Linked DNA regions of Cricetulus griseus. The protein of the gene in region 1 interacts with the protein of each later gene in a pairwise test. Links are inferred from orthologs where the notes say so. Each region holds a gene or a part of one and is shown on either strand. Other genes may lie near its edges.

Evidence for each region. The genes of interacting proteins can lie anywhere in the genome.
Region 2: the proteins of Gramd2b (region 1) and C-type lectin domain family 4 member K interact in binary tests that used the Homo sapiens proteins (3 or more experiments, as listed by UniProt). The two-hybrid records come from large-scale screens. The link is inferred for Cricetulus griseus from reciprocal best matches to the Homo sapiens genes GRAMD2B and CD207.
Region 3: the proteins of Gramd2b (region 1) and Tmem43 interact in binary tests that used the Homo sapiens proteins (3 or more experiments, as listed by UniProt). The two-hybrid records come from large-scale screens. The link is inferred for Cricetulus griseus from reciprocal best matches to the Homo sapiens genes GRAMD2B and TMEM43.

The regions. Positions count from the first base shown.
Region 1 is NC_048595.1:182,402,826-182,407,001, forward strand, and holds part of Gramd2b (GRAM domain-containing protein 2B), read right to left. Parts: intron 2,845-4,176; coding exon 2,773-2,844; intron 2,679-2,772; coding exon 2,577-2,678; intron 141-2,576; coding exon 29-140; intron 1-28.
Region 2 is NC_048601.1:57,585,625-57,590,509, forward strand, and holds the start of C-type lectin domain family 4 member K, read left to right. Parts: upstream 1-1,969; coding exon 1,970-2,054; intron 2,055-2,142; coding exon 2,143-2,259; intron 2,260-3,894; coding exon 3,895-4,269; intron 4,270-4,885. UniProt on the Homo sapiens protein: Calcium-dependent lectin displaying mannose-binding specificity. Induces the formation of Birbeck granules (BGs); is a potent regulator of membrane superimposition and zippering.
Region 3 is NC_048601.1:52,332,827-52,337,530, reverse strand, and holds the start of Tmem43 (transmembrane protein 43), read left to right. Parts: upstream 1-1,788; 5' UTR 1,789-2,003; coding exon 2,004-2,015; intron 2,016-4,704. Other genes in the region: Chchd4 (mitochondrial intermembrane space import and assembly protein 40), read right to left, coding at 1,418-1,439. UniProt on the Homo sapiens protein: May have an important role in maintaining nuclear envelope structure by organizing protein complexes at the inner nuclear membrane. Required for retaining emerin at the inner nuclear membrane.

The DNA of each region.
Region 1 (4,176 bases):
CTTGAATCGGGACAAGATCTCCTCAGACCTCGGGAGTTCTCAGATTCTGGAGTCTGGGAGCCGGAGCTGCTGTATCCTTCCATGTCTTGCCTTCGTTGTCGAACCACTCCGTCCAGGTCTGAGAATTCATCATTGAAATCCTATGGGGAGACAGTGACGTGAGGAGATAGGCAGGCCTCTGTAAACCTTAGCCACTTTGCTTAGGCCTGACCCACAAAATATGGAAATGAAGCACGGGTTACCACACGCCTCGGGATTTTCCTAACCTGGGAGTATCTGGTTACGGAACCGAGATTCCTCTGCATGGTTAGAATTCTATTCATAAACAGCACATGGCTGGTTTGAAACAAGTATCTAGAGAAAGCACTGGACGGCTGGCGAGAGAGAAACTGCTAGTGGGAGGCTGAGAATCTCAGCAGCACTGTGCCCCGAAATATCTAACTGCTGCCAGACAGACAGCTCAAAGCCACTCGAATTATGTAGACAAAAGTATTGTAAATTATAATGAAAAAAAGATGCTAGTGGGCACAGAAAAGAAAAAAAAAAAAAACACTGCAGGCAAAGCAGCCTTTTAAGTTAGATTCTATCAGGGTCAGCTACGGAACCAGGAGAGAAGACCACGAGCAGAGGCATTTCAATTTGTATTCCACTGGCTTCCCTGAAGTGTTCAAGACCTAAGGGGATACACAGTATTTCCAGCTGGCCCTGGCAAAGGCCGAATTAGGCTGAGCTCTTAACAGTTTAGCTGCCGACTGAGGAAACACTAGTAAGCAAATGAGCAACATTTGTGTTTGACTTTGCTGTCTTTGTGTCATCTCAGCATCCATTAGACTCCTTACAATGATGGATAGGGGAAAGAAAGGTGAACATTCGATGGATTGATTTATACCTGATTTAACTGTTTGAGACAGAGTCTCCTCTATCTATCTCAGGCTATCTTAAACTCTCAATGTAACTGAGGATGACCTTTATCTTGGAACCTCCTGCCTCTACCTCTACAGGCGTGAGCCACCATGCCTGCTTTGTTTGGTGCTAGGGACAACCCATGGCTTTGTTTAGGTCATGCTAGTACTCTACCAACTGAGCTACAATTCAGTTTGAAAAGTGGAAAAACTTTAGTCTCTTCAACTTAATCGTGACTAACTGAAGGTTGATCCTGTATGGGGCAGTGTGCAAACCGCCTTACACACATGGATCCATTGGCTTTCCCCACCCATATGGTGAGGTTAGGATTTCACTGGATGAAAGAAGTGGGTCAGAGGGGAAGGAACTTCCCTGAGGAGCGACTCCAACTGGGAGAGCTCACACTGGAAACCATGTTTGCTGAATTCTAAGTCATCACATGTGTATTTTGTACTGCCCACACCCTTTCCCTCCCAGTGCTATGGATCATTATGACGGTCTATGAAGATGGAAACCCATTCTAACTTGGGAAGCATCAGTAAATGCAATCATGCAATACATAGCCATTTGTTTTTGTTTGTTATATTGATTTTAAGGTCCATCTATGTGGTAACATGTATCAGTCTTCAATTCCTTTTCAAGAGTGGGTAATACTACACTGTATACTATATTAAATACATCCCATTCATTAAAGAACATCAGAGTTTTATCCTACTTTGGGCTATTATGCAAAATACTGCTATAAACATTCCTTTTTGCTTTTGAGACAAAGTTTTGCTATATATTTCTATCGTGGTCTGTGTAGCATAGTCTGGCCTCAAACTCATAGTAATCCTCCTGTCTTAGCTCCCTACCCCCAAGTACTGGGGATTACAGGTGCATGCCATTACTCCCAGATAAACTTTCTTGTTCGAGTTTTTATGTGAACATGCTTTAATTACATTAGTTTTCAAAATGCAAAAGAAGATTCCTAGATGTTGAAACTACTTCCCCTATTCACCCCACCCCAATGATAGGGTTTCTCTGTGTAGCCCTGACTGTTCTGGAACTCACTCTGTGGACTAGGCTGGCCTCTCTACTATAGGTAGACATCATGTACACATAGAGATACCACTGGAGGTTTTCACTGTGGTCTACAAAGTCCAAGGGAACATAATAGTTCTACCTGCCACCTGAGCATAATAGCTTTGCCTAGTCATTTCTGAGTCTGCCCATCTTTCCTAAGCTGAAGTCTCTGAAGGTGAGAATTAGTTTTAATTTTCCATGGTTTCCCAGTATAGTACCCTGAACCTTTGTGAACTGAGCCTGCCTCAAAGAGATTTGTGAATCTCTTTAAAGGAGCACTGTGTCTGGAATGTAGCTTAGTGGAGAGTGCTTGGCTGGCATGCATGAGGCCCTGGGTTTGACTGCCAGCACCACACACAACAAAACTGACAAGCAAATGAAGTGAGGTCTTATATACCTCCAGCCTTACTATCATATTTCTTCTCCATGTAGAACAACCTGTAGATTACTAGAAAAAGTTAGTGGCTCCCTTTGGTCCCTCTGCTTCTGGAGAGACAAGCTGTGCTCTGCAGCTGTCCCCAACTACACTGGTCCTGAGTTCCTCCCAAGCCTTGGCTGTAGTGTGAGCACAGGGTAGCCATGGCTCCATCCTTTGCTTGTGCACTTACGTCATTATCTGGGCAGCTTACCAGAGGCAGAGATGAAGGGCGATCTGCCCGGAAACTATTTTCAGGAGAAGATGGGTTGGAATTGTTACCGACACTTGTGTTCTGAAATCATAGGAATAAAATGAAAACCCAGGTCAACTTCAGACCTTAAGGCATACCGAAGAAAGACAGCATAGAATTTGAATGTCATACGCACCTCCAAGTGTCCACACACAGATTTTAGCAGTTTGTATGTTGAATCTCTGGAAAGTAGGGAAACGAATATGTACTGGAAAATAAAGTGCAATCAAAAGTTTAGAGTTCCAAAAATACTTGTTACTTAGGTTTTGTATTTTTTTTTATAAATTTTAAAATTACATTGTGTGTGTGTGTGTGTGCGCGCGCGCGTGCGTGCCATGGTGTCCCTGTGGAAATCAGAGACAACTCTTCCTACTACGTGGGTCTTGAGGATTGAACGCAGGTCATTAGGCTTTATGGTACAGACATCCAGATGAGCCATCTTTTTGGCCCCTAGCTTTTGTATTTCCAAATGGCAAAGACCATCACTTTAACTATAACCTTATTTTTTTCACCAGAACATTCAATTTTTATTTTCTTTCTTGAATAAGACAAGTACATTCCTTCATGTGTTCCTTCCTTCCTTCCTTCCTTCCTTCCTTCCTTCCTTCCTTCCTTCCTTCCTTCCTTCCTTCCTTTCTTTTGAGGCAGGGTCTCATGTGGCCCAGACTGGCAACAAACTCATTATAAAGCCAAAGGTGATCTTGAACTCTTGATAGTACTGCCTCCACCCCACAAGTGCAGAGATTACAGGTGTGTACCACCACTCCAGTGAATTCAGCGTTTCATGCTGCCTCGCAAGCACTCTACAGATGCAACCACATCTCCATCTCCTTACATCCCTCTCCATCTCCAGCTCCTTATATCCCCTTATTATAGTAATAAAACCCCCAGATTCAATTTAAACATAATAAAAAATGGAGCAAAATGAAGGCTGCCAAAGGATGGCATGGGTGTCCCCTAAAAGCATAGATGGGAAGTTAGGGCACTAAGGCAAGGCTGGTGATACAGGCTGGGTCCTCCAAAGTCCCCTCCCCTCCCAGGTATTTTGTTTTTAAAGGTATTTTGTGATTCCTGGAGCAGGCCTGCTTTCTTTGCTCTGACATAAATTTCTGTAGGAAACTTCTCAGCAGTTCTAAAGTGTTGCTTTTTTTCATGTCACTTCCAGGCTCTTCCTTGTACTAATATGGAGATTCCCCACTCCCCCAACTGGATGCTTGTGAGTTACGGGGGGGGGGGATAAAAATTAAAGCTAGCCAGAGGACATGGAAATGGTACATCAACAAGATTTGAAAAGCTGTGGCTTTCTCTGTGTGTGTGATGTGGCTTTCTCTGGATGGTGAAGGAAGCATTGTTAGTACACAGTAGGTTCCATGCACTTGACATACTTTTTGGAGTTGTCCTACCCACAATACATGTTTAATGTTGTTTGCTTTCTCTGCTGCTCCTGTAAATTTGCTATTAAAATGCACTAAATTATGACAGCAACAATAACAACAACACCTCAGAAGAACAAGAGTAACAATGACGGAGAAGAAAGCAA
Region 2 (4,885 bases), on another chromosome or scaffold:
ATTCAGTGGTGGTGAGAAATAGAAACTTTGAGAAAGCAGATTTCCTGACTATAGACTGTGGGAGTCCTGACTAACCCTCAAATCACCTGCTCATTTATCATACCATCCATTCATCCACTTATTTTTCTCCCCTATTCTCCATTGCTCCACTATGCATATCCATCCATCCCCTGATTGTCTATCCACCTACTCATCTGTTGTTCTACAGTTCATCCATCTACTAATCATCCATTCATCTTTTCACCCATTGTCCATCCATCCATTGATCAGCTGTCCAATCATTACTCTATTTACACATTTCCATTCATTATCTCATCTGCTTCTCTTATACTCATGCAACCAACTGCTTATTTTTCACCCATCTATCCACCCATCTACATTCATCCATCCATCCATCCATCCATCCATCCATCCATCCATCCATCCATCCATCTGTGCCAACTCTTAATTTTCTTCCTGTTCTTTTTTTCTTTCTTCTTCACCATTCTCTACTTCCTACCTTCTGAGAAACATTTGTTTAGAGTCTACTGTGCACCATGGCTTTTAGATTTAGAAGGATTCTTTAAACCTTGAGGATTCTTTAAACCTTTAAACCTTTTCTCAGGAGAAAAGTTACTTTTTCACTGAACCCCAGACCAGCTCCTCTGTACCCCAAGCTTCTCCTCCATAGGGAACTCTGTTCATGATTCCCGGGGAGGAGAGAGAAGCAGGGAGAGAGGAGAGAGAAAAAGAACCAGTCTGGGTTAACTGCTACTGAGCCATCCTACTTTATCTGAGATGCCCAAGCTGCAGGACGCATGGAAAAGAACCCAAGACTCACACTCAACAATGTGGAAATCTATGTTGCATTTTATAAAATAGCATAATTGTATATGAGAACATTTCATTACAGTAGTCTCCTAATCGGTCTCCCTGTTTCCAGACTCCTGTATCCACATCGATGGCTTCTAACCATGGTCAGAGGAATCTTTATTTTGTGTATGTTTGTGTGTGTGTGTTTACATATATATGCGCACATGCATGTGCATGCATTTAGAAAGCAGAGGTCAATATCCAATAACTTCATCAATCACTTTCCACGTTATTTTTGAAAAAGGGTCTTTCATTGAACCTAGAGCTCTCTCTTTGCCAGACTTGTTAGCCAGGGATCTACATGGATTCTCTTGCCTCTGCCTTCTTAGCCTGGGGACATAGGTGCCTTCTGGTGTACCTGGCTTTTACATGGGTTCTGGAGACATGAACTCATGCTTAGGTGGCCATCACTTTTCTTCCCAGCCCTTCAGAGTGCTCTTTCTAGTCCCTTTCCTGAACCCACTGGAAGGAGGTAAAGCCCCTTAAGATGATCCAAAAGGACCCTCATCACCTGACTAGATGCCTCTTAAACCCACACCCACCTCCTGCCACACATCACATGTACATAGGGCCAGAGCTATCGACAGTTTCCATAGCATCCTAGTAGTCTTATTTCCCAGACACCGAGTGTGTCCATCCCTCATTCAGTACTCCCATCACTGTGCTCCCTGTACGTCCTTTGACAGTGGATATCCATCCATTGCCATGTTCTCCACCTCATATTGTAATTTACTTTCTCAGGCTATTTTTTCTGTCAGATTACAAACTGAGTTAGAAAATTGAGTAGTTCATCTCTGGGGTCCTGAGTTGGGCTCATAATGTGTTTGTATGGTGGGTGGGTAGATGTTGACTGAATGATAGGCTAGGGGCTCTTTACAAAAGAAATAGAGAACCTTTGAATTAGATGATTAAAATGTCAGTGTCCCAGGGAAGAAGGCAAGTGATCCCTGCAAAGCCTGGATCTTTGGAGAGGGGATGAAGCTGTGGTCTCAGCCTGGTAAAATGTCTAAGCCAAGAACAGGGAACTTGGGCATGACACAGTGACTTGCTCTGCGACTCATTTCCCGTTTCCTTCTGGATAAAAGGCCTTAGGAGAGACAAACAGCCAGAAGCTCCCATGCCAGAGGTGAAGATGAAGGAGAGTGAGGCCCCTGATGCCCACTTCACAGTGGACAAGCAGAACATCTCCCTCTGGCCTCGAGGCAAGTGCCAGCTACTGCTCCAAGCCCATTTGGTGCTTTGCCCATCACTCTTCACTGATCCTTAACAAACCTCTGTGTCTCCTACCAGAGCCTCCTCCCAAGCCAGATCTGTCTCCAGTCCTGAGGAAACCTCTCAGCCTCCGTGTGGCCTTCATCTGTCTGTCATTGGTGCTGGTCGCCTCTATTGTGCTTCAAGCTGTTTTCTGTAAGTCACCAGGTCCCTGGAGACCCAGTCCTTTTGCTGCTGTTCTTGGTGTCTTCAGTGTATAATGTTTCAGGAAATTTCCTGATGTTTCTGGAAGCCGACTTGCTGTTCCTTCCAACTCTGGGTTTTTGGAAGATTTCCCGCCTGGCATTAGGAACTGTCTGTTCTCAGGGGTACTCTTCAGTCTTGAGGAAAGAGTCACCAAGCTTGTCATGCCTGCTTTTGCCTCCCTTAGCATCCTGTCACTCACAGCGTTGAGGTCCTTTGGTTCAAAACATTGTGGATAGCTCCCAACAGTGGGAGGGATCCTACTCCTGACCACCCACAAGGCAGTTTGTCTCCATTGAGCAGATAGGGAACTTGGCCAAGCCAGCAAATCTCCCAGACAGTCTCATTCTCTTGTATGTCCTTACCTGGAATCTTCTTATTCCCCTTCTAGAAGCTTCTTAGTCTCTTCTGTGGTCACACCTTTCTCCTTTCTGCCAAGTCTCTAGAAAGTATAGGGAGGGAATGTTTCTACTTTCATGACTGACATGCGTGGTCACAGATGCTCAGCCACACCTTTCCAAGTCCCTAACCCTCATCCTCAACTGGTGGCCTTGTCTCTTCTCCTCCACTTACCCCCACCCTCTGTCTCCTGTTTGTTTGAGACAGGGTCTTACTATTTATCCCTGGCTGGCTTGGAACTCAGTAGATCTGGCCTGCCTGGAACTCACTGAGATCTGCCTGCCTCTGCTGGGATTAAGGTGTGTGATACCATGCTTGGCTGTTTCGAGCTTTTAGCACTGCCTTTTTCATATGATTCTTTTTGGAAATCTCATATTTTATTTTATTATGTATGCAAGTGTTTTGCTTGCATGGATGTGCAGCACATGCCCTAGAATGGTTTGCTTGTGTGTGTGTGTATACCACAAGCCCTAGCTCTCAAAGAGACAAGAGGACATCTCATCTCCCTATAACTGAGGTTATGCATGGCTGTGAGCTGCCAAATTGTGCTGGGAATTAAACTCAGGTTTTCTGAAAGAGTAATTGTTCTTCCTGCTGAGTCATTTTCAGTCCCACAGATCTCTTTTGATAGTTATTGGTTCCCCTATGATCTTAGTAGAGTATGAAAGACAGGGCTTGGGAAGGGCAGAAATAGCTCAATGCCCCTCCTATGTGTTCTGGAGTCTGCATGGATATGGCCCTGCCCATGGCCATAGACCAGCTTGTGGCAGATAAGGGAGGGTGTGCTGCCTTAGCTGGTGGCTGTGTCTTTGACAGCAGAGGGCTGGGGACTATCTCATAGGCTCAGAGGGGACTCAGTGATAGAATGATGAGGGGGTGATGAAGAGTGCCCCTTTACCAAGTTTACCCTGACCATTCTAAGGCATTTCAGGACTAGGCTCTCCCTCTGTTTGTTGATGAGCTCTCTTGGTCTCTGCCAGGCCTGTGTTACCCAGCGTTCCTGACACATGGTGGCACATAGCACACCCATGTGCACATTAGTGAATGAGTGGAGAGTAGGTGGCAGTTCCTTGGACTGTATTGGTCCTTTGGGAAGCTTGATTCTGCATCGTTCACTTTCTTCAGACAACACCCCATCTCTGTGGCTTAGTAACCTCTCAATTGACTGCTTGACTTTCTCAAATCCAGATCCCAGGTTGGTGGACAAAATATTGGATGTGAAGAGCGATGCTCAGATGTTGAGAGATCGTGCGGACAATATCAGCAGTCTGGGTTCTGTTCTGGAGAAGGACAGAGGCCGTGTGGAGGAGGCTGAAGTTCAGATTCAGATCCTGAACACAAGCCTAACCCGGGCGCGTTCCCAGATTCTGTCTTTGCGGATCATCATGGAGCAAGCCAGTGCTCAAATCAGTGTGTTAACACGAAACTGGGAAGAGGTTGATAGTCTTAGTTCCAAAATCCCGGAGCTGCAAAGAGATCTGGATAAGTCCAGCGCCTTGAATGCGAAGGTCCGAGGACTGCAGAACAGCTTGGAGAATGTCAACAAGCTGCTCCAAAGACAGAGTAAGTAAACAAGATCATCCTGCAGGCTGCAAAACCCTACCTGTCTCAGACAGGTGACAGGCTGCCTTGTGGGTGGGCAGGGAACAGGCTTTGGGTGGGCAGGAGACAGGCTTGTGGGTGGACAGGCATTACCAATGGTCTGGGTCTGAGAGAACTTGGGGGTAGTGAGGAGAGAAAATACTGGGCCTAGCTTGGGTCTCTACACTTAAGTGCAGAGTGCAGAAGCATTGGGGCGGGGCGGGGGTCTGTATGTTCCATATGGGGAACCTGGAGTTCCGCATGGTCTGGAGAAGAGCCATATTTTGGGTTCTGAGAGAGTGAGTTTACTAAATATATAGTGAACTAATAATAAAAGAATGAATAACAATCGACAGATGGATAGAGAATTGGCAGGCAGACAGACAGATACACAGGTGAGAGATTGATGTAGCAAAACATCAAATTGGACACTCAAAACACCCAGCGGAAATCAACTGGGGAAGCCACACTGAGACCTTCAGCCGGAGTTTCTGTTAGGGAGTCCCTGAGGAGCAGAGGGTCCCTTGGGGTAAGAACAAATAATGGCTGGAAGGTCACATCATCAAATCTGGAACTACAAACATCCAGCAGAAACTCA
Region 3 (4,704 bases), on another chromosome or scaffold:
GACTTTAATCCCAGTATTTGGGAAGAAGAGGAGAATCTCTTAGTTTGTGGTACATAGTGAGACTGTCTCCAAAAACAATAGTAACATAAAATAAAAAATATGAAAGACCCCCCCATCCACTTATGCTCTCTTTCTGCTCTCTCTCTTTCCCTAAGTTCCCCTGGTGCAGACAGGACTTTTCCTGTCTTCCTCTTCTTATCTGTCCTCTCTGTCTCTTTACCTCTTTTCTCTTTCCTCTCCTCCCTCCAGCTCTTTCCCTTTCTAATAAAACTTCTCACTAAGCTCTGTCTGCCTAGCATGTTTGTCCCTCTGCCTCGGTCAACCTCACCTGCCATGGAATCCGCCAAAGTTCCCCACAAGCTTTATCATAACACTTACCCCAAAGACTCAACATCAACCTGCCAACTGGTAAACTGCACTAGACTTGGAAGAAACAAAAATCATGACAAGAATTGCTAGGGCGGGAGGAAACAGCTGTGCGGTGTAAACTGGGCCTTCTAATTGGATGCATAGCCTGGGGTGGATTAGTTCCTCCTTTACCCCTCAGATTCCCTAGACTACAGTGAAGAAGCTGGCCTACTCATTCTAAAATTCTGGGTGACCCAAGAATTTTATTTGTATTCCCAATAGTCCTCCAACTCAATTTTCCCCTGGGCACATGCTTTGTGGATACTAGAATGAACGATGGCCGAGACTGGAAACTAGGGCCTGGAGGGGTTGCTAGCAGCTTAGACACAAGGAGCCATTAGTGCCGAGAGGCTAAGGTGCAGACTAGTCTGGAGTCTTCTTGGCTGCAGCTCACAAGTAACAGACAAGTGAGTGGTCCTCAACGTGGCTGGAGACGGTAGAAAGGAAGGCCTTTAACAGAGGGCTCCCCACTGGCACTGCAGCTTCATCACCCGATGGGCTCTAGGGCCGAGTAACCCGTCTTAGTTTACTGTCTGATAAAACACGAACAATAACAGAACCCGACTTATAAAGGTCGCTACGTGAAGTTTCAAGAGTGCCTGGTATACAAGAGGAGCTCAATAAACACTCCTGCCAGAGGCGCTTCACCACGCAGCACAGCCTATTCCAGCCCAAGTGGTAATTTCCCGGGATAATTAAAAAGCCTAAGCGAGATACAAACACGTGGGGCGTGCTAGGGACGATGGTGACTAATTCCTAACAGTCCCCAATTCCCAGCTAGATACAACATGCTCCGCACTCGCAGGGCCCACGTGAGGCCTCCGAGGCCCGGGTTTGAGTGTCACGGTGACCTTGGACCAGCCTAGTTCCTCACGGAGCCTCTACTTTCTTATCTGGAAACCGCCGCGTGAAACCCACGAAGGGCCCACGCCGCCCTATGGAAACCACCCGACCGCGTGTGTCTCGCAGGCCGGCGCCCGAGCGGTCTCCATGGCAGCACCCGACCTACCTTCCTGCCGGCAGTAGGACATGGTTGTTCCGGACGCTCTCAGCTCTGGGAGGCACTCAGCACGACCGTAGCGGATACACACCTTCACGCAGTGACCTCCCTTCGCCTCTCCTCAGGCTTGGCGGGCGGCACTTAAGCCCGCGCGGACCCGCCCCCTCCAGGCCTGCCCGCCGCGCGCCTGCCTCCCAGCTTCCTAAGCACCAGCGCCGCTCCTTAGCCGAAAACTACATTGCCCAGCGGCCCGTGCGCCCCTCCAACGAAGCAGGTACTACATTTCCCAGAAATCTTGCAGTGCGCACGCGCACCAGTGAAGTGTTGGGTGCGCTTGAAATTTTGTGGCGGAAAGTGTCCGATAGCGGACTACATTTCCCAGCAGGCCTCGAGATGTGCTCGCGCAGACAACTTGCGGGGCACAGACAACTATCCGCGGGGCGGTAACTCTTGACCTGAGTCCTGCCAGGTCCTGGATTCCACGCGGAGTCTTGCAGCGCGGTAGGAGAGAGGAGGTCACCGCATTCTGCCTTCCGGTCGTCAGCCTAATTCCTAGCAGAGCAGTGCTAGACCGCGGAGGCGAGCCGGGCCCACCATGGCTGCGAACGTGAGTACCTTCTGTTCCCTTGACCACACTATCATCCGGGACACTCCTTCCCCTGGTCCACGGTGGGTCCTTCGGCGATGCGACCTCAGTGGGTGCGGCGACCCTGATCTCCCTGTGCTCGTCCACCTGTCCACTCACCCTCAGGCCGCACGTTTGTGGAGCGCTCCTCTAAGTCGAATCGGCTCGTGCGTGGTTGCTCCTTCCACTCCTAGTTTCTGTCTGGGCCCCTGGGGTATGAAACTTGGGGAGAAGGACCGCGAGGAAAGTGTCTCTCGGTGGGCATATTGGTGAGGCGATTCCGGCCAGGTGGAGCTGTCCAGCAAAGGCTTCTCTGACCTCCGTGCCCTAGGGGGTGTGTACACCTAGGCTGTGCTGCTTCTGTAGCAGGACCAGCCTGGCCGGATGACCAAGAGAGAGAGGCCTTTCTCTACGGTCCGGTCCCTGGTGCACTTATTTGGTAAGAGACCCTGGCTGAGGATAACCTCTCCCCCTGTCCCCAACATCCCCCAGGTCTCTGGCTTCTTCCTACTGCAACTAGTCCTTAAGAACTTTACTAGTGAATCCGAACATTCATTCAACAAGCGGAGCAGCGCCACTTACTAGGGAACTGGGTGTGGGAGAAGCTGGTGACTCACCACTGCCTCTGGTGAAAGTGCCTCTGAAGCCAGCTCAGGAGTGCTGCCAACCCCAGGCACACCCTCTCTCCCTCCTTGGTAGAATGTCATTGCCCCCCTCTTCCCAGGCCTCTCCTCTGTCCGGCAAACCTCTTCTTGGCCTCCTACACCCCTGGAGCGGCCAGAGTTTGTGGGACCCACTGCCCAGGCAAAGGCACATTGTCAGGCCCTGGAAGGCAGGAGAACCAGAGGTTAGGAAAGCTGCACTGGAGCCAGAGGAGAAGGCACCCTGTAGACCAGCCTAACAGGAGCAGGTGGACTCATGATGGCGCTTATCACCATCACCATCATCATCATCTTTTACAGTTCCCCAGCAGAAGACACCGGCTCGGGGGTGCTAGGCCAGTATATGCTACAGCACCAGCCTGGGAAGGTGATGAGGGCAGGCTAGAGGCAAATCCAGATTCTTCCACTCTAACTTCTCTGGGTTCACTGTCTCATGGGATCAGTTACTTTGAAGTTTGAGGAAGATTGCTAGGCACAGAGCCTGGTACATGGGAGGTACTTAACCCATGGAAACGTCACTCTTACAGGCTAGTACCCACAGTCCTGGTAGGCAGAGACCATCTCGGGGATGTTGGAGTCTGACTCTCATACCAGCAAACATAGACACAATGGGATCTCTTCAGTAGCCATGCCTTTGCCTATTTGTTACATTACTTTCTTGGAAAGACTTGAATGAACATCCATTCAGTCAGCAGGATAACCATAGACCAAAGGAACAATCCTACCAACTCTATCTTGGTGAACTGTGCATACTTGCAGGAGCATGGGTAACCCCTAAACAGCTACCTCACCAAAGTCCCACATCAGCATAGGTGGACCACCCCTGGAAAGCTGCATAGATGAAGTGTCATCCCCTTTGCTCCCAGCCCCCCCTTCAGTTAGCCTCTGCCTTCTGTATACCCTAGCAATGCTATATACTGCTAGGGGTGGGACATAGGAGGAGGTGATCGGCTGGAATCTCATCCACTCTTCCAGAAAACATGCCTGATCATGTGAGGGGCTCATGTGGACAATCAAAGCTGTTCTTATTTCAAGATGTCAATGACTGTGTCATGCCTGGGGGACAGAGGACCAGAGCATTCATACTAGAGCTGAGCCACCAGGCAGGGTTAAAGACAGTGGGTGGAGCACAGGCACCTAGATTCAGAATAACAGCTGACCTGTCAGGTAGGTATTATTACCAGCAAGTGAGGAACCAGGACCAGAGAGGTGGAGCATGTTACCAGGCTCACACAGCAACAGAGCTTGGATTCCAACCGTGGTGTGCCAATTTCCAGGCCTAGTGTGTTCCCACCTGTTGCTTCATTGCTTGTTCATTCTGAGCCCAGTGTGCTCAGAATACGTTACGGAGGATACATAAGTGTATGTATACACATGCAAATACATATTCCCATATAGGTACCATTTGCCATCTCACCCCTCCCCCAGCTGGAGGAATATCCTCTTGGCTTCTATCCCTTCCTGGGCTTAGGAAGAACAGGAAAAACACAGGTTTCCTTTTTTCTATTTCCAATTGTTCAGATCACATTACAGCTAAGGTCACTTTAAGCAATGAGGAAGGCAGTCTAGGGCAGAGGGATCTTGCTGGATTTGAGCACCTACTCACTACACATAAGCTTGATCTGGGCAGATATCCTAAGCAGTGAGTCTCGATTTCCTCACCTGTGAAATGGGGTAGTGCTAGCCTCTTCCACCTTGAGCTGGCTCATGACTGACCATGAGCTGGCTCATGGTCACCTTCTTGTCTGCAGCGATTATCTCCACTAAGTTTCTGATGGTGTCATTCTGGGTTCAGTGGGTGTCCTGAGCCAGCAGTGGAGAACAGCCAGAAGTGGCATCTGCTGTGCTCATAGACTCCGACCCAAATCTATCCTCTGATCCTGGGCAAGAAGGGGCCTGGCTCTCTGAGGTGCCTGCCTGGTGACCACTTTGTATCTCTGTGACTTTCGTCTACACCCACAGTCTGGGTGGCAGCCCCAGTTTCAGTTTTGGAGAGATCTGATAATGTT